3 linked regions of the Arabidopsis thaliana genome follow. The protein of the gene in region 2 purifies or fractionates together with the protein of the main gene of each other region. This does not show direct contact. Each region holds a gene or a part of one and is shown on either strand. Other genes may lie near its edges.

Evidence for each region. Proteins that work in one complex are often made in the same cells at the same time.
Region 1: the proteins of GRF10 (region 2) and AHA10 purify together in Arabidopsis thaliana (affinity purification with mass spectrometry, with the first as the bait; one study listed by BioGRID). This does not show direct contact.
Region 3: the proteins of GRF10 (region 2) and AT3G58610 purify together in Arabidopsis thaliana (affinity purification with mass spectrometry, with the first as the bait; one study listed by BioGRID). This does not show direct contact.

What each region holds. Positions count from the first base shown.
Region 1 is NC_003070.9:5,902,312-5,909,398, forward strand, and holds AHA10 (autoinhibited H[+]-ATPase), read left to right. Parts: upstream 1-1,746; coding exon 1,747-1,812; intron 1,813-1,899; coding exon 1,900-2,019; intron 2,020-2,106; coding exon 2,107-2,205; intron 2,206-2,294; coding exon 2,295-2,432; intron 2,433-2,528; coding exon 2,529-2,663; intron 2,664-2,753; coding exon 2,754-2,933; intron 2,934-3,031; coding exon 3,032-3,238; intron 3,239-3,339; coding exon 3,340-3,459; intron 3,460-3,580; coding exon 3,581-3,700; intron 3,701-3,788; coding exon 3,789-3,911; intron 3,912-4,024; coding exon 4,025-4,129; intron 4,130-4,254; coding exon 4,255-4,399; intron 4,400-4,513; coding exon 4,514-4,675; intron 4,676-4,764; coding exon 4,765-5,003; intron 5,004-5,165; coding exon 5,166-5,198; intron 5,199-5,289; coding exon 5,290-5,371; intron 5,372-5,454; coding exon 5,455-5,615; intron 5,616-5,697; coding exon 5,698-5,871; intron 5,872-5,965; coding exon 5,966-6,148; intron 6,149-6,248; coding exon 6,249-6,403; and 3 more. Other genes in the region: RLP3 (receptor like protein 3), read right to left, coding at 1-1,128. UniProt on the Arabidopsis thaliana protein: The plasma membrane H(+) ATPase of plants and fungi generates a proton gradient that drives the active transport of nutrients by H(+)-symport. The resulting external acidification and/or internal alkinization may mediate growth responses.
Region 2 is NC_003070.9:7,878,250-7,883,228, reverse strand, and holds GRF10 (general regulatory factor 10), read left to right. Parts: upstream 1-1,833; 5' UTR 1,834-2,125; coding exon 2,126-2,192; intron 2,193-2,544; coding exon 2,545-2,851; intron 2,852-3,058; coding exon 3,059-3,146; intron 3,147-3,253; coding exon 3,254-3,363; intron 3,364-3,444; coding exon 3,445-3,593; coding exon of another isoform or gene 3,594-3,628; exon of another isoform or gene 3,629-3,941; coding exon 3,942-3,979; coding exon of another isoform or gene 3,980-3,985; exon of another isoform or gene 3,986-4,004; intron 4,005-4,077; coding exon 4,078-4,083; 3' UTR 4,084-4,470; downstream 4,471-4,979. Other genes in the region: MBD8 (methyl-CPG-binding domain 8), read left to right, coding at 1-693, 1,050-1,515. UniProt on the Arabidopsis thaliana protein: Is associated with a DNA binding complex that binds to the G box, a well-characterized cis-acting DNA regulatory element found in plant genes.
Region 3 is NC_003074.8:21,669,783-21,675,590, forward strand, and holds AT3G58610 (ketol-acid reductoisomerase), read left to right. Parts: upstream 1-1,650; 5' UTR 1,651-1,778; coding exon 1,779-2,075; intron 2,076-2,198; coding exon 2,199-2,291; intron 2,292-2,560; coding exon 2,561-2,626; intron 2,627-2,732; coding exon 2,733-2,873; intron 2,874-2,967; coding exon 2,968-3,195; intron 3,196-3,299; coding exon 3,300-3,417; intron 3,418-3,496; coding exon 3,497-3,636; intron 3,637-3,729; coding exon 3,730-3,897; intron 3,898-3,985; coding exon 3,986-4,141; intron 4,142-4,488; coding exon 4,489-4,857; 3' UTR 4,858-4,949; exon of another isoform or gene 4,950-5,103; intron 5,104-5,171; 3' UTR 5,172-5,308; downstream 5,309-5,808. Other genes in the region: AT3G58600 (Adaptin ear-binding coat-associated protein 1 NECAP-1), read right to left, coding at 1-36, 372-403, 1,080-1,217.

The DNA of each region.
Region 1 (7,087 bases), 2.0 Mb from region 2:
AATGCTAAGGCTCTGAAAGCGGGAAAAGTCAAGCTCTGATAAGGTTCCTTCCAGCCGATTAAGCCTCAGATTCAACTTGACGAGATTAGTACAATTTGCAAGAGAAGGCGGGACTGTACCAGTGATGTTATTGATATGGAGTTGGAGGCTTTGCAGGCGAGAGAGCTGACCTATGTCCATTGGTATTTCTCCTCCAAGGTGATTGGAGTACAGCTCGAGCGATTTTAGTTTTGTGAGGTGGGTGATGTCATCATTGATCTTTCCAGAAAGATGATTGACGGGTAGAAAGAGTTGCTCGAGCTCCGAAAGATTGTATATGTCACTTGGGATTTCACCAGAGATATTGTTGAAGCCTGCTTGTAGAACACTTAGCTTCAAACATCTCCCTAGTCCTTGCGGAATATTACCGGTAAAATCATTGTAGGAGAAATCCAGTTTGCTGAGCTGCGGTGAACTCTTGCACATAAACGAAGGGATTGAGCCTGTGAAGCTGTTCTTGCTGACATTGAAACTGATTAAATCGAAAGTTCCTTGCATAAAAATAGAACTAGGGAGGATTTCGCCTTGGAGAAAATTGCTTGACAGATCAACTATCCGAATTGGGAAACATCTGTTGCTTCCATTTCTAAATGTTTGTTCAACTGGCAACTCACCATCGAGGCTGTTGTAACTAAGATCAAGAACTTTGAGCTGATCAAGGGCTGAGAGAAAGCCAGATGGGAGATGACCGGAGAGACGGTTATGAGAAAGATTGAGTTGAGAGAGATGGTGGAGACGCAGAACAGACAAAGGGAGTTTACCATATAGTGCTCTAAAGGGCAATGAGATTGCAGTGATGTGGCTATCCGGGGAATCATCGCAGGTTATTCCTTCCCATGAGCAACAATCAATGGATGGGTTCCAATTCAGAGGAGAAACAGAAGAAGAAACGTTTCCAGAGAACCACAGTAGGGATTCTCGATCTTGCGAGTTGCAGAGAGCCTCTGAAACTGCAATAGAAAGGACACTGATGAAAAGAACACACTGAAGGAGTATGCCAATCATGTGAAAACTCAGAGCTTGTATTGGTCTTGTGGTTGATGAAGTTCTCACAAAACCTTTGGCTTTGAATCTCCCCTCATTAGTCATGGTGAGAACAAGAACAAGACGAGAAACAGACAAAGAAGATGAAAAAACTTGTTGGCCAGTGTTGACTAAGGGGGAATAGCCCAGACATAACAAAATTAGACTTGTCGTACATCTTTAATATTTTTTTTATCTGTTTCTTTGTCCTGACGCTTTCATTATTCCTGTGATCAATTTTCTCATACCATTGGTCCATCGTTAATCCTTTCTCAATTTCATTTTCTACGTAACATGAGAGGAGACCAAGTCCTATGAGAACAGTTGACGTAACAGTGGTTGTTAAGTTAAGTTAAAAAGAGGAAGCTAGTGAGAGTGACCGTTAGGTAGAGAAGTGAGATCTTTAACCACTCTTCTTTCTCTCTCTCTCTGCTTTTTTCGTCGTCTTTCACATCTACTGTTCGCAAACTCTCTTATGCTTCCAATAATGGTGATACCAATTGAGACTTGCAGGAGAATCTCCTCTTCTCCACACTCTATCAACTGGTCAGCCATGGAATGGTCGTTTCAGTTTCAATATTCCTGGATTCTTTTTAAGGATTCCTGTTTCTCTTCTGTTCCTGGTATATTCTTAACGACGAAATTAGTATCGGATCCTGGTAATACATTTTGAAGCTTTTAAGTATGGCCGAGGATTTGGACAAGCCATTGCTGGATCCTGATACTTTCAACAGAAAAGGAATTGATTTGGTAAATGTTCCTTTTAACTGTATACTCTTATTAGTACTTGAATTCTTAGTGGCAAAAAAGGGTTTTGACCCTTCTTGAGCTTGACAGGGTATATTGCCGTTGGAGGAGGTTTTTGAATACCTAAGAACATCGCCTCAAGGGCTTTTATCTGGAGATGCTGAAGAGAGATTGAAGATATTTGGTCCTAACAGACTTGAAGAGAAACAGGTAATAAACATGACATTCTTCTTAGTGTTCCTGCCAATTGTCTCTATTATCTTGTGCTAACCGCCATTTAAAACAACAATGATACAGGAGAACAGATTTGTGAAATTCTTAGGTTTTATGTGGAATCCCTTGTCATGGGTTATGGAAGCTGCTGCATTGATGGCCATTGCCCTCGCTAATAGTCAAGTAAGACAACCACAGTTTTGCTACCATTTTCCATCCATGAGTGTTTATGAAAAAGCACCTTGAAACTCATGGTGAAAATGGTATTACAGAGTCTAGGTCCTGACTGGGAAGACTTTACTGGAATCGTTTGCCTTTTGCTGATCAACGCAACAATCAGCTTCTTTGAAGAAAACAATGCTGGGAATGCTGCTGCAGCTCTTATGGCTCGCTTGGCTTTAAAAACAAGAGTATGGCTCTTAACCTTCCTATGAGCCGAAACGGCAAAGTTAGCTGCACTTTAATTTCTATATTACCTTAAATTTGATTTAGATCCACTCTTATAGGTTCTTAGAGATGGACAGTGGCAAGAACAAGATGCTTCTATCTTGGTACCTGGTGATATAATTAGCATTAAGCTTGGGGATATCATTCCTGCAGATGCTCGCCTTCTTGAAGGAGACCCCTTGAAGATTGATCAGGTACGTCCAGAATATCTAGTCTCTATTCTTTTAGTGTGTACTATGTAAAGACTTTCTCTGACAGAATAGTTAAAACATTTATTCCTGCAGTCAGTGCTGACCGGAGAATCACTACCTGTGACCAAGAAGAAGGGTGAACAGGTCTTTTCTGGCTCTACTTGTAAACAAGGTGAAATAGAAGCTGTTGTGATAGCAACTGGATCGACCACCTTCTTTGGAAAAACAGCACGCTTGGTGGACAGTACAGATGTAACTGGACATTTTCAGCAGGTTTTCCTTCTTTCTTTCCCTTTTGGTTGGATAGAACCTGATTAGTGAACTTGGAATCTGGAAAAACCGAATGTAGTCTTTGACATGTTTTCTTCTAGGTTCTTACATCGATTGGAAACTTCTGCATTTGCTCCATTGCTGTTGGAATGGTTCTTGAAATCATTATCATGTTCCCTGTACAACATCGCTCTTACAGAATTGGGATCAATAATCTTCTTGTACTACTGATTGGAGGGATACCCATTGCCATGCCCACTGTACTATCTGTAACGCTTGCCATTGGATCTCATCGACTTTCACAACAGGTACATCCCACTTTAAGCTGCTGAATGCAAAAGGAAGTCCTTTGTTTGTTATTCTTTAAAACAGTTTGTTAGCAATAATCTGTTTCTTCATGTTCTCTAAGGGTGCCATTACGAAAAGAATGACCGCAATAGAGGAAATGGCTGGGATGGATGTACTCTGCTGTGATAAAACTGGAACCCTTACTTTGAACAGTCTTACCGTTGATAAAAATCTTATTGAGGTACCAATACTACAGATGCGACTTGAATTTCATCAAACAATACTGTTAAGAACAGTTGCCTCCTTCTTCATCGTCTTGTTCTCTATTGTTGGTGTTTAAATGTACAAATCCTTCTGCACAGGTATTCGTTGACTACATGGACAAGGATACAATTTTGTTGCTTGCAGGCCGAGCTTCACGACTAGAAAATCAGGATGCTATAGATGCAGCCATTGTTAGCATGCTTGCAGATCCCAGAGAGGTAGAGATGTTTCTCTAACATGAACTCTCTTTTATAAGACTATCACCTTCTTAGAAGTTTTTCTCATACAAAGGTTGTTTATCTGTAGGCACGTGCAAACATTAGAGAAATCCATTTCTTACCATTCAATCCTGTGGACAAACGTACTGCAATAACGTATATTGATTCCGATGGAAAATGGTATCGTGCTACCAAAGGTGCTCCTGAACAGGTATGTATTCTTAGCACTACCAAACTGACTCTAGTTGTAAAAATTTAGTGAATTTTTTTGTACTGTTTCCATGAAAGAAATACCATCACTAATACAACTGCACTATATTATAGGTTCTAAACTTGTGTCAGCAGAAAAATGAGATTGCGCAAAGAGTTTATGCCATCATTGATAGATTTGCAGAAAAAGGTTTGAGGTCTCTTGCGGTTGCTTATCAGGTAACATCATTGTCCTCTCCCTTTCTCTCTTGAGCTGGTTTTATCATAAGTGTACTTTTGAAGAAGAACGTTATGATGACATTAATTACTCCAATTCATTGCATCATTTAAATAATTGTTTCTAGGAAATTCCAGAGAAAAGCAACAACAGTCCTGGAGGACCATGGAGGTTCTGTGGTCTGTTGCCACTGTTTGATCCCCCAAGGCATGATAGCGGTGAAACCATCCTTAGAGCTCTTAGCCTGGGAGTTTGCGTTAAGATGATCACTGGTAAATCTTAACCTTTAGCTTGGTAGGCTTGGCCCGACAGAGAAACACATATACCCTTGTGAGTAAACGGTAAAACTCTGGGAAAATGAATGATAAGTTTGGAACCACATGTAGGTGATCAATTGGCGATTGCAAAGGAGACAGGCAGACGTCTTGGAATGGGAACCAACATGTATCCTTCTTCCTCTTTGTTAGGCCACAACAATGATGAGCATGAAGCCATTCCAGTGGATGAGCTAATTGAAATGGCAGATGGATTTGCTGGAGTTTTCCCTGGTCATATTCTAACACAACCTTAGTACCTACGAAATTTAAGATTTGCTCTCATTTCTAATCCCAAATTTTTTTTGTCTCTCATGTTACAGAACATAAGTATGAGATTGTAAAGATTTTACAAGAAATGAAGCATGTGGTTGGAATGACCGGAGATGGTGTGAATGATGCTCCTGCTCTCAAAAAAGCTGACATCGGAATAGCTGTCGCAGATGCAACAGATGCTGCAAGAAGTTCTGCTGACATAGTACTAACTGATCCCGGCTTAAGTGTAATTATCAGTGCTGTCTTGACCAGCAGAGCCATTTTCCAGCGGATGAGGAACTATACAGTAAGTACTAAAGTTATAGTTATACTACTATCATCTGATCCCTGATAGCTAAAGAAATGAAAAATCATATAATATAGGATATGGATTTCAAGTAGCCTGATGACATTCTCAACTAGCTTATGTTTTTCTCTGAATTACCGACTAATCAGTACGAATCTGCAGGTATATGCAGTCTCTATCACCATACGCATAGTGGTAAGGAGCTTCATGATACATGATCTAACTCATGTTAGTTAAGTTACATCAACTTACTTGAACTTTCTCTTCTTGACATTGTTTCATGCAGCTTGGTTTTACACTTTTAGCGTTGATATGGGAATACGACTTCCCACCTTTCATGGTTCTGATAATCGCAATACTCAATGACGGTAATCTCTTAATCAATAGCTTCATATTGATGTAACCTAATTTTTATCACTTTCAAACGCTATGTTTATCTCCTACGCATCAGGGACTATCATGACTATTTCTAAAGATCGAGTTAGGCCATCTCCTACACCCGAGAGTTGGAAGCTCAACCAGATATTTGCGACAGGAATTGTCATTGGAACATATCTAGCATTGGTCACCGTCCTGTTTTACTGGATCATTGTTTCTACCACCTTCTTCGAGGTATCTTCCTATCACTCAAAGTAAGTTAGATTTTGCTTACCGAGAAGAATGCATACCGGTGACCAATCTTTAATGGCTGCAGAAACACTTCCATGTAAAATCAATTGCCAACAACAGTGAACAAGTGTCATCCGCGATGTATCTCCAAGTGAGCATCATCAGTCAGGCACTCATATTTGTAACACGTAGTCGAGGCTGGTCATTTTTTGAACGTCCCGGGACTCTCCTGATTTTTGCCTTCATTCTTGCTCAACTTGTACGAATTCCCCATACTTCGCATTTTTTCCATCACAGAATGCTATATAGCACACATAGGTCGTGATATTGACTTGTCCATTTCATGTACACAGGCGGCTACATTAATTGCTGTGTATGCCAACATCAGCTTTGCTAAAATCACCGGCATTGGATGGAGATGGGCAGGTGTTATATGGTTATACAGTCTGATATTTTACATACCTCTAGATGTTATAAAGTTTGTCTTTCACTACGCATTGAGTGGAGAAGCTTGGAATCTCGTATTGGACCGTAAGGTTGGTACATGTCCTGTGTCTCTTGTCCTCTGCTTGTTAGTCAGTCTCACACTTAAACTATGCATTTTCTTGAAGATGAGACCGTTGGTTTGTCTTGCAGACAGCTTTTACTTACAAGAAAGATTATGGGAAAGATGATGGATCGCCCAATGTAACCATCTCTCAGAGAAGTCGTTCCGCAGAAGAACTCAGAGGAAGCCGTTCTCGCGCTTCTTGGATCGCTGAACAAACCAGGAGGCGTGCAGAAATCGCCAGGTTCTCTTTTTATCTATACCCCGTTTTGGGTATTCTCTTCCATTTTCACATACTACCAAAATAACTATATTGTTTTTCATTTGGTAGGCTTCTAGAGGTTCATTCAGTGTCAAGGCATTTAGAATCTGTGATCAAACTCAAACAAATTGACCAAAGGATGATCCGTGCAGCTCATACTGTCTAAAACACTCTCTTAGTTTTTCCCTATCTCAAAATTTACATAAAGAGGAATCGAACAATGTTGTGTTCCTCAGAGAAGTAAAAACAATATTTAGAGCATTCATATGATCTGTAGTCTGTAATGTAGTCTTGTTTTCCGGTGACAGCAGAAATTTCACCTGATATGCTCTGCTGAGATCAATTGTAGGCCATATATGTCGGTGTTTCACTGAACCTGTGATCATTGTTCATCACTTTGGTTAAATTGAAAAATCACCACTTTTATTTCCTGTGTAATCGAATATTTACTCTCTTGTTTTCAATTATTACTAATTTAGTCCACATTCCGTGTTGAATAAATCTTGGTTTATAATTACTTGTTTCAAAAGCAATCAAGCTGTTCTTATAGAACACAAAATTCTCAAGCAAATAAACTATATTTCACCGACAAAATTCACAAAACCGTCGGAAAAGAATCAAACGAATTTGACATTAAACCACCTACTATAATACAGGTAAAGAAGA
Region 2 (4,979 bases):
CGAAGGAGAGGAAGAGCTCGAAGATAACGAAGGTCAGATCCATTATAACAGCTATGTTTATCAGAGACCTAATCTTGATTCGATTCAGAACGTTCTGATTCAGGGAACCTCCGGGAATAAAATAAAGAGGAAGCGTGGACGGCCGAGGAAGATTCGGAACCCTAGCGAAGAGAATGAGGTTTTGGATTTAACTGGTGAAGCATCTACGTATGTGTTTGTAGATAAAACTAGTAGCAATTTGGGAATGGTGAGTAGAGTTGGTAGTTCAGGAATCTCCCTGGATTCAAATTCAGTGAAGAGAAAGAGAGGTCGTCCTCCAAAGAATAAGGAAGAGATAATGAACCTAGAGAAGAGAGACAGTGCAATTGTGAATATTTCTGCGTTTGATAAGGAAGAGTTAGTAGTGAACTTGGAGAACAGAGAAGGTACAATTGTGGATCTCTCTGCATTGGCTAGTGTTTCAGAGGATCCATACGAAGAGGAGCTGAGGAGGATCACCGTTGGGTTGAAGACAAAGGAAGAGATCTTAGGTTTCTTGGAACAATTGAATGGTGAATGGGTGAATATAGGGAAGAAGAAGAAAGTTGTGAATGCTTGTGATTATGGAGGATACTTGCCTAGAGGATGGAGACTTATGCTCTACATCAAAAGGAAAGGTAGCAATTTGTTGCTGGCTTGTCGCAGATACATAAGGTATAATAATGTTTATGTTCTTCACTGGTTCTGTTTCTAGTTGGATTATAAAATAGACCTAGTATTGGCTGTGGAATTGGTTATAGCAAAACTAACACTTTGTTACTATTGAAGATATAGTTTTATAGGATTTGGTATATGATGTTTTAGTTTCTGCTGCTAGACTTTTGATTGTCCCTCTTGTTTGTTTCTCCATCTTCTTGAACATGATAAAAGATGTTTACATGAATTAAGGGCTGCTACTGAAATTGCTTATAGTTCGTTTGTGTACTCTCTGCCGTTCTAGGATTCTAGCTGTTGTTATCACTTTTAGTTCAGGATTCTGAAAATTTTCTCTTTTGTTTTTGATTATATAGCCCTGATGGGCAACAGTTTGAAACCTGCAAGGAAGTCTCCACATATCTACGATCACTTCTTGAATCCCCAAGCAAGAACCAACATTATTACTTGCAATCTGACAACAAGACTCTAGGACAACAACCAGTGATAGCTAACGAATCTTTACTAGGTAACTCTGATTCCATGGACTCTGAGACAATGCAGTACCTTGAGAGTGGAAGAACCAGCAGTGAGGTGTTTGAGGAAGCAAAAGCCGTAGAGAATGGCAATGAAGCAGATCGAGTGAAAACCAGTCTGATGCAGAAAGATGATAATGCAGATTTTCTGAATGGAGTTGAGGACAACGACGATGATATGAAGAAAAGAGATGGTAACATGGAGAATTTGGCGACTCTATCGAATTCAGAAATGACGAAAAGCCTACCGACAACGACTAATGAGCTTCAACAGTATTTCAGCTCACAAATCAACCGAGTTCAGTGACCATTTCTTTTACCTGGAACAAATTGTTTTCTCATTCTAGTTCAGATTTTATATTTTATGCAAACTAAAAGCGTGTTGTAGCTAACTACAGGATATAGAATTTGAAAGGGCCATGTACAAAACATTTGACAGAAACCAAATTTTTTCTTCAAAAGAAAATTTCTTTGAGTTTCAATCTGTGATTGATTTGGATTTGGATTTGGATTGGCATAAAAAAAATCTATGATTTGGATTGTGTTATATAATATAGAAAAGAACACAAACCCTTAAAATAATGGACAAGAGGACATGTCTTTCTCCGTTTATCACGGTCAGCGTCGTTAACCTTTTACGTTATTGACTAGATCGGGGTTTAATAAGAAACATATATTAGTTTTAGGTTCTTTCTGTGTAAAAACTAAACCTTTGTGGCTACTTTATAATTTATAAAACTTATGTTTCTGAGTTTTGTTGACTAAAAAAAGTAGATCCAACGGCTGATATAATACCACTATGAGAGGATCCTAGGGTTACTACTAATCTCGAAATCAATCAAATCAAAGCATCCATTTTTGATTCAGACTTCAGAGAGACAGAGAAGGAAGAAGAAGAAGAAGAAGAAGAAAAAACTATGGAGAATGAGAGGGAAAAGCAGGTTTACTTGGCTAAGCTCTCCGAGCAAACCGAAAGATACGATGGTATTTTCCGATTTCTGGATCTCTATTCAGAAAATGATTTGTTCATGTTTCTGAAAAAATCCGATCTTTTATTGCTCCGATCGAAATTGTTTTTACATTTCCATAGATTTTCTTTGTAGCCCTTTACCGATTTGTATGTTTCTGGGCTGTTACTTGATCTGGACTTTTAGATGCGACCTTTAAGTAATTTCTTGTTTAATGTTGTTTAGATACTCTGATCACTCTTGATCTTATCTTGATATAATTTTATACTTACTGTTGTCGAATCTCTTAGCATGAAAATGAAATAGATCTACGTTTTTGGAAGCAAATTCAAAGATCGGATATTTTTTTTTTGTTGGTGATGATGCAGAAATGGTGGAGGCGATGAAGAAAGTTGCTCAGCTTGATGTGGAGCTAACTGTGGAAGAGAGGAATCTTGTATCTGTAGGGTACAAGAATGTGATTGGTGCAAGGAGAGCATCATGGAGAATACTATCTTCCATTGAGCAGAAGGAAGAGTCCAAGGGAAATGATGAAAATGTCAAGAGGCTTAAGAATTATCGTAAGAGAGTTGAAGATGAGCTTGCTAAAGTTTGTAATGACATCTTGTCTGTCATTGATAAGCATCTCATTCCATCGTCTAACGCTGTGGAGTCAACTGTCTTTTTCTACAAAATGTGAGTGTCATCTTTATTATACTCTGACCATTCATGTGATATTTGTGTGACTAAGAATGAGATCATTTCCGTTTGACTAAAGTTAAATGTTTAAGTTATTACATAGCTACCACTCTTGCTTGTGTTCTTCCTGAAATGATGATGATTCATGAACTTTTCCTTGTTTCACTGTTTTGACTTTACGTGTTTTTTTTTCTTTCTATGTAGGAAAGGAGATTACTATCGCTATCTTGCGGAGTTCAGTTCTGGTGCTGAACGCAAGGAAGCTGCAGATCAGTCTCTTGAAGCATATAAGGTCCTTTGATCATGTTTATTTGTTTTCTTATTTTTGTGCCACCCCTCTTATATTTGAGCTGGGAATAACCTAAGACAAGTCTTGCTTTTTTCGTACTGGGAATGTAGGCTGCTGTTGCTGCTGCAGAGAATGGTTTGGCACCCACACATCCAGTTAGACTTGGCTTGGCGTTGAACTTTTCAGTTTTCTACTATGAGATCTTGAACTCTCCCGAAAGGTTTGTTTTTGTATTTTGGATTGAACATAATAGTGGAATCTGTGGTCATTTTCTGACACTATGAAACTATGTATTGTACAGCGCATGCCAATTGGCTAAGCAAGCATTCGATGATGCAATTGCTGAACTTGACAGCCTCAACGAGGAATCATACAAAGACAGCACTCTTATTATGCAGCTACTTAGAGACAATCTCACCTTGTGGACTTCAGACCTTAATGAGGAAGGAGGTATTCTTATTTTCTTTTGTTTCCCTATCTCATGATCAAATGGTTTCCTTAGAATCAAATGAGCTGTTAAGAGCGTTACCTTGGAGTAAAAATGTTGATGTTTGGGAACTCGTAACCATTAACCATCTGTCTATATTTGAATTAAACCGTCCTTTATGCATGTATTGCTATGTAGATCTTTCATTTTAGTTTTGAAAGCCTCAACAAAAAACATACCAATCTACCATCTCATAGTTATTGGATTCTAGCTAATCTTGTAAAAGTTATATGTTTGTAGCAGAAAACATTACTAGTTTCTTGTTTCTCTTCCAAAGCTTTTTCACTCACCTTTTTTTTTTCCCCTCTTAGATGAGAGAACCAAAGGTGCTGATGAGCCTCAAGATGAGGTATGAAAAGCCAGTTTTGTTATAAGTTAAGCTACTTACTGATTTTTCCATTTTGCATTGACAATTAGACCACTCATGGAATTACTGAATCATTGCAGAACTAAATCCTCTGTGAGAAGAGAAACGACTCTTGCTGCATCCTGAATCTTGAAGTGAAGACAGTAAGTGTCGTTGTTTGTTACTCGAATGTGTAATTTTTAATCTATGTCTTTCTTGATGGTGTTTTCCAGATTCTTGAACTTTTCACAACACAACACTGCGTTGCGTATCTTCAACCCTCTTATGATGTGGTTGAATTCTGTTTTACGCTTAGTTTGCTTCTTTTGTTGTTGAATTGAGCCAGCAGGCATGATTTGGGTTTTTGTTTATCAGAATATTAGGCGTATCATGGTCTCAAAATTAAAAACCAAAACAGACAAAGCTTTATTCGAAGTTTGTAATAACTAATAACTCCTTGCAAAAATCATGAAAGTCTGAATTCAAGAGGCTCTTAATAATTTGCATAAGTGATCCCAAACTTCACAACTTTTCAATTTGTGGATGTTTGCCCTCTTTGTGGCCAAGGAATCATCCTCAAGTGTGTTTCTCTACGGTGGTTTGGTCCGTAAGTGTGTGACATAATAATGGTTTGGTTCTCCCAACATGACCCTCAAAAAGGATCTCTATGCTCTAAATATGGGACTCTTGTAAGTTGTAATTGTAACCAAATGCTATCACAAACTCTCTAACTCGTACCAACACTCATTGTGTCTAATCCAATCGAGAGCCCTCAAAGTCTAAAACATGTTAATCAAACTGTGAACCAGTTAATCCTTATAGAATCAGATATCTTTTTGTCAACCATCTAAATAACATTTTTGTCACGAATTGACCACTTCCCTCGAGAGATTTTGTAGTGTTTTCTTTAATATTTTTATATGTCCAATGAATAATAATTTCATACATCTATCGAAAACTTCAATTTTGAGCTACAAATGATCAATTCAAGTATTCACTTGGC
Region 3 (5,808 bases), on a different chromosome or scaffold from region 2:
TCCCATGCCCATTTGTTCACGTCCCACTCATCTGCTCTGCAAGGATAAAATTTATACAAAAAAAGTATCAGCTGATGTCTATCTCCATCTTCCAATGGATTACTTGATGCACTTTTTCAAGTATCTTTTACCAAAGAAGCCAAGTTGAGTTGATACAAAGCGAATGTAACTAGATAATGACCATCTTGATGCAAATTAAGGTTAAGCTACCATTCATAGTCATACATACTTCACGATTGGTTCAATAAGATTCGTTCCGAGTTTCTGATCATTTGCTAAGCCGAAGGGTTTATCGGGAAAAGGGGTTTTGTAAAAATCTCCTAACTACATATATCAGAATGACTGTTTCTATCATAAAGGTAAGAAAGAACCTGTACGAAGCTGCGGTTTTCCTTGGAGGTATCTGCATACACAAACAAAAAGACAATGAAGAGGTTACTTTGCCTAGCATCCCCGTAAAGTAACAGACACAGAAGAAAGCATAAACGATAAAATAACATTGATACATCAAGCTCCAATGTTGTCCATTACGAATGAGAATTTTATAGTTAAACCTAAATAACAACAGTTCACAATGTCTATGATTTCATCAAGGTAGCCAATTTGGAATCTCATACATCCTATAACACAATGACCATGTAACAATTTCACGAGTATCTCAAAAGCTAGTATGATTTCAGAGAGACCCCATCAAGATATCACTTAGCATGATATTGGTTAAAATTAATGTACTCTTTTATCACAAGCCTTGAATCTATCATACGAAATCTCCTTGAAAAGATTTTTCGCTGATAGTTACATGTGCAATCGATCACCATTGCAAATCCAAACAAAATTTCGAGTGATCAAGACTCAACGTCAAGTTTTCAACATATGCAAATTAAGACAACTTCCTCAATACCATTGCAAGAAATCTATAACACCAGATTGAATTTACGTTATAACTAATTATCAGATCCAAAACATCTCCTAAAATCACCAAGTGAACTTGCAAAGAAAGGATGTAACTTGAGCATAAAAGACACAAAACTCATCAAAAATTATAAAATCACATCTCATGATAAGCCAAGAAAAGTTACCAAATAAACATAGCATTCAGGCACTTGGAACAGAGCAATCTCTATAGCTTCTCTCTCCTCGTTATCATCGACATTCACAGGATCAGTGGAAGACTTCTTGTCTTCCTCCATAGTCGAAGAAGACGAAGCTTGATCCATCTCAGAAACAAAGAATTTAACTTGGAGAAAAACCCAGATGAGACTAATCGATCAAACAAACCCGTAAATCTTAAATGTTAAGTCTTTCCCGAACTGTGATTACAACAATCTCACGAGTCGCGAAGACGAAGAAACGTAGAGGTTTCGCGTTAGGTGTGTGTAGTGTATACCATTACTTCAATCTGAGCTACTTCAAAACCATCAGATCTAAGCTACCTCTGTTAAATCTGAACCGTCTATTACGTTGACTTTGAAACCCTGATATAGACTAGACACCTATGTATCCTCCACCGCTGGGAAGTCAACATTGAAGCAGTTGATGGACCAACACCAACCAATAGAAAGAACGTCCACATTTACTTTAATGGGCCTTTTAAACTAATAGGCCTAGGCCCATTATAAATACATGGATTTGTTTTATTTTATTTTTCTCATATCTGTCTCTTGGTGGTGATGAGTAGGTAAACTGTGTGCGCTTATTAACTTCTCTCACACTGACTCTGCGACCCTAATTTGTGAGCTCTCTTCTCTTTGCGCAGTCAATTTGCTACAACTTAGAAAATGGCGGCGGCTACTTCATCCATCGCTCCTTCTCTTTCATGCCCATCTCCTTCTTCTTCATCCAAAACCCTTTGGTCTTCCAAAGCCAGAACCTTGGCTCTACCCAATATCGGTTTCCTCTCGTCTTCTTCCAAGTCTCTGAGGTCGCTTACTGCCACCGTCGCTGGAAATGGCGCCACTGGATCCTCCCTTGCCGCTCGCATGGTTTCTTCGTCTGCGGTCAAAGCCCCTGTTTCTCTCGATTTTGAGACATCTGTCTTCAAAAAGGAGAAAGTTTCTCTTGCTGGTTACGAAGAGGTTTATCTCATTTACCCTCTTATTCATTTCTGTTCTAATTTGTGCTTATTCTATAATCATTTTGATGTGTATTGATTTTGTTAGTTGTTGCTAATGTTTGGTTTCTGCTGATCTTTGTTTTAGTACATTGTGAGAGGAGGAAGAGACTTGTTCAAGCATCTCCCAGATGCTTTCAAGGGGATTAAGCAGATTGGTGTGATTGGCTGGGGATCTCAGGTACTTACCTTTTTTGGTCTCTTTATCTGTAGCTACTGTGCTTCTTGTTTGATTGCTTTTTAAATTGCTTACGTTGGATTGCGAATAAGGAATCTTGGTTCTGTGTTGTGATACGAAATTGGTCAGAAAAAGGATATGAATAAAGTGTTTTCATTTTCATACTTTTGATGCATTTGAGTTGGTGGAATGAACAAGATTAATATATTGTTTCATATTCTTTTTATTCAGCATCTCTTCTCTTGTAATAAACGCTTTATCTATATATGCAGGGACCTGCCCAGGCTCAGAATTTAAGGGATTCACTTGTGGAGGCAAAGTCTGACATTGTTGTCAAGGTATTTCAACTGCAGAGTTGGCTTCATACTTGTATTTGTTTGCTTTCTGTTGTTACGTGAAGGCTCTGTTCTGACTTTGTTTTCGTTTTAATATACTATTACGTAGATTGGTCTCAGAAAAGGGTCTCGCTCATTTGAGGAGGCACGTGCTGCTGGCTTCACTGAAGAAAGTGGTACTTTGGGTGATATATGGGAAACTATCGCTGGCAGTGATCTTGTATTGCTTTTGATCTCTGATGCTGCTCAAGTAAGTGCACTTTTGTTATATATTTCCACTACTACTTGTTGAGGTATTAGTCCTAAGGTGTATACATCGATTTTATTCTATCCTGTTTTTGCAGGCTGATAACTATGAGAAAATATTCTCTCACATGAAGCCAAACAGCATTCTTGGTTTATCACACGGGTTTCTACTAGGGCATTTACAGTCCTCGGGACTCGATTTCCCAAAGAACATCAGTGTGGTCGCTGTATGCCCTAAGGGAATGGGTCCTTCTGTGAGGAGGCTTTACGTCCAAGGAAAAGAAATTAACGGTGCTGGAATCAACGCCAGTTTTGCAGTCCACCAGGTTTTCTATCTCTTTATCTCTACTGCAAAAGCTATCTTTACTGAAAAGCTCTTATACCTCATGTGTTCATTTTTTCACCACTATTTCTGCTATTCTGTTGGCAGGATGTTGACGGTAGAGCCGCCGATGTTGCATTGGGATGGTCAGTAGCACTTGGTTCTCCGTTTACTTTTGCTACTACTCTTGAACAGGAGTACAGGAGTGACATCTTTGGAGAAAGAGGTGAGTTTGATCCCCTTTTAGACCTGTCTTTATATCACTCAATCCCATACTTACATATCTTCTTCTTTTTTGTTAAAAGGAATTTTGCTTGGTGCTGTTCACGGAATCGTGGAGTCTCTGTTTAGAAGATACACCGAAAATGGGATGAGTGAAGACTTGGCTTACAAGAACACAGTAGAATGCATCACAGGAACAATTTCAAGGACTATCTCTACCCAGGTTAGTAGGAAGATATCTGTAGAGAACAGACTAATTCGTTTTTAGCCAAATATAAAAATTTAAAACCTGTTTCTAATGAATTGTGAACATCAGGGAATGTTGGCTGTGTACAACTCCTTGTCTGAAGAAGGTAAAAAAGATTTTGAGACTGCATACAGCGCATCCTTCTATCCTTGTATGGAGATTCTCTATGAATGTTACGAGGATGTACAAAGTGGCAGCGAAATCCGAAGTGTTGTCTTAGCCGGTCGTCGCTTCTATGTAATGACTCTTCCGAATCTTCCTTTTGTTACAATTACCCAAACACAGTTTGTGCAGGAGTTTTGATGGATTCTCTTACTTATAACAGGAAAAGGAAGGCTTGCCAGCATTCCCTATGGGAAATATTGACCAGACAAGAATGTGGAAGGTGGGTGAACGCGTCAGGAAGTCCAGACCTGCTGGTGACTTGGGTCCATTGTATCCCTTCACCGCTGGAGTTTATGTAGCACTTATGATGGCTCAGGTATGTCTATGTTTATATCTGGTGTGCCCACCTTTGCTTTGGATTTTTCGGTTTATGCAATGTAGAGTCGGTTTCAATTTCCGTTCAGATTTTAGAAAATATACCTCTAATTGGAATATTTTTGTCATTGCAATAGGTTTGTATAGTCTAATTGGATTCTTCTTACTTCCATTTTGTTTCAGAGAAATTGTGATATCGATCTGTTTTGTATTCAATTTTGAATTCTTTTTTGTATGGTTTTAGTTCGAATTAGCCGCATTGGACAACCCCTAGAATTTAATATGCTATCAATTTTCAGTGATTTCTTAGAATCTAAATCATCGTGGTTTCTATGTGGATTTGTGTAGATTGAGATCTTGAGGAAGAAAGGTCACTCTTACTCAGAAATCATCAACGAGAGTGTGATTGAATCCGTGGACTCTCTAAACCCATTTATGCACGCCAGGGGAGTGTCCTTCATGGTTGACAACTGCTCAACCACAGCAAGATTGGGTTCGAGGAAATGGGCGCCACGGTTTGACTACATCCTGACCCAACAAGCTCTTGTGGCTGTGGACAGTGGTGCAGCAATCAACAGAGACCTAATCAGTAACTTCTTCTCTGATCCAGTCCATGGTGCCATTGAGGTCTGCGCACAGCTCAGGCCTACCGTTGATATCTCTGTGCCTGCTGATGCAGACTTTGTTCGACCTGAGTTGCGTCAATCTAGCAACTGAGTGAAGGGTTGAAAGTTTGTCAGTCTCTTATTTGTAATCGGAGTATTAAGTCGAGAGTTTGTGATGTTTTCTTAGGCGTGACTGTTTGTTTTGTTTGAAGGATTATGTCTCTTTGCTTTGGTCTTAAAATCTACTTAAATCAATAAAATAGTTTAACGAAATTTCGCTTTAACTATTTTCGTAACAACATTTGCAAACTTTCAACTTAATTTTGTCTAGAATTGTGTATTGTCAATTTCAGTAACTGAACTGGGATTAGAGACGCTTGAGAGTTAAAGAAGGAACCAGTATCGAGAGTTTAGGATTTGATGAAGTTTATATGTCTGCGTTAATCTTGCAACATTTAGGATACTTTTAGGATATAATAGTGTGTAATGCTACTTTTGTTGGGTCAAAAATAGTATGTTGCTATGTTGAATGATTGAATATAGAATAAAGAGATAAGTTTTTTACAAATGCCAGATAGATTGAATATATGTAGTCACTCTCCAACTTCAATTATATTATTATTACAAGGAAAAATCATTTGTGTGTGTGTGTGTGTGTGTGTTTTCTTTCTTTTCAAAACTAAAGATAAAGAAGAAAAAATTGGCAGAGCATAATGCTTTTGTCTCTCTTTTTACTGAGAAATGAAGAATCTAAATTATTAGAATCACATGTAATGACATGTGCTCTCCCTCTCCCTCTGCACATTTTGCATTATATGTCAAGTCTTTTTCCCTTTCCTTGTAAAATCAAAAAAAGAAGAAAAAAAGAGAGAGAGATAAATCCACAATGCTTGAGAAAAGGAAAAGAAACAGAGAACCAAGAGAATCTGAATTAATTAATAAATAAAAATTCTGCAATCATATGATAGTGTGGCTCAAGAATTAGAGAAAGACAAGACCAACATGTGTAGCCAATCATACTGTATTGCTCTTTTCCCACATTTCATGTTCATTTATCCTAAAA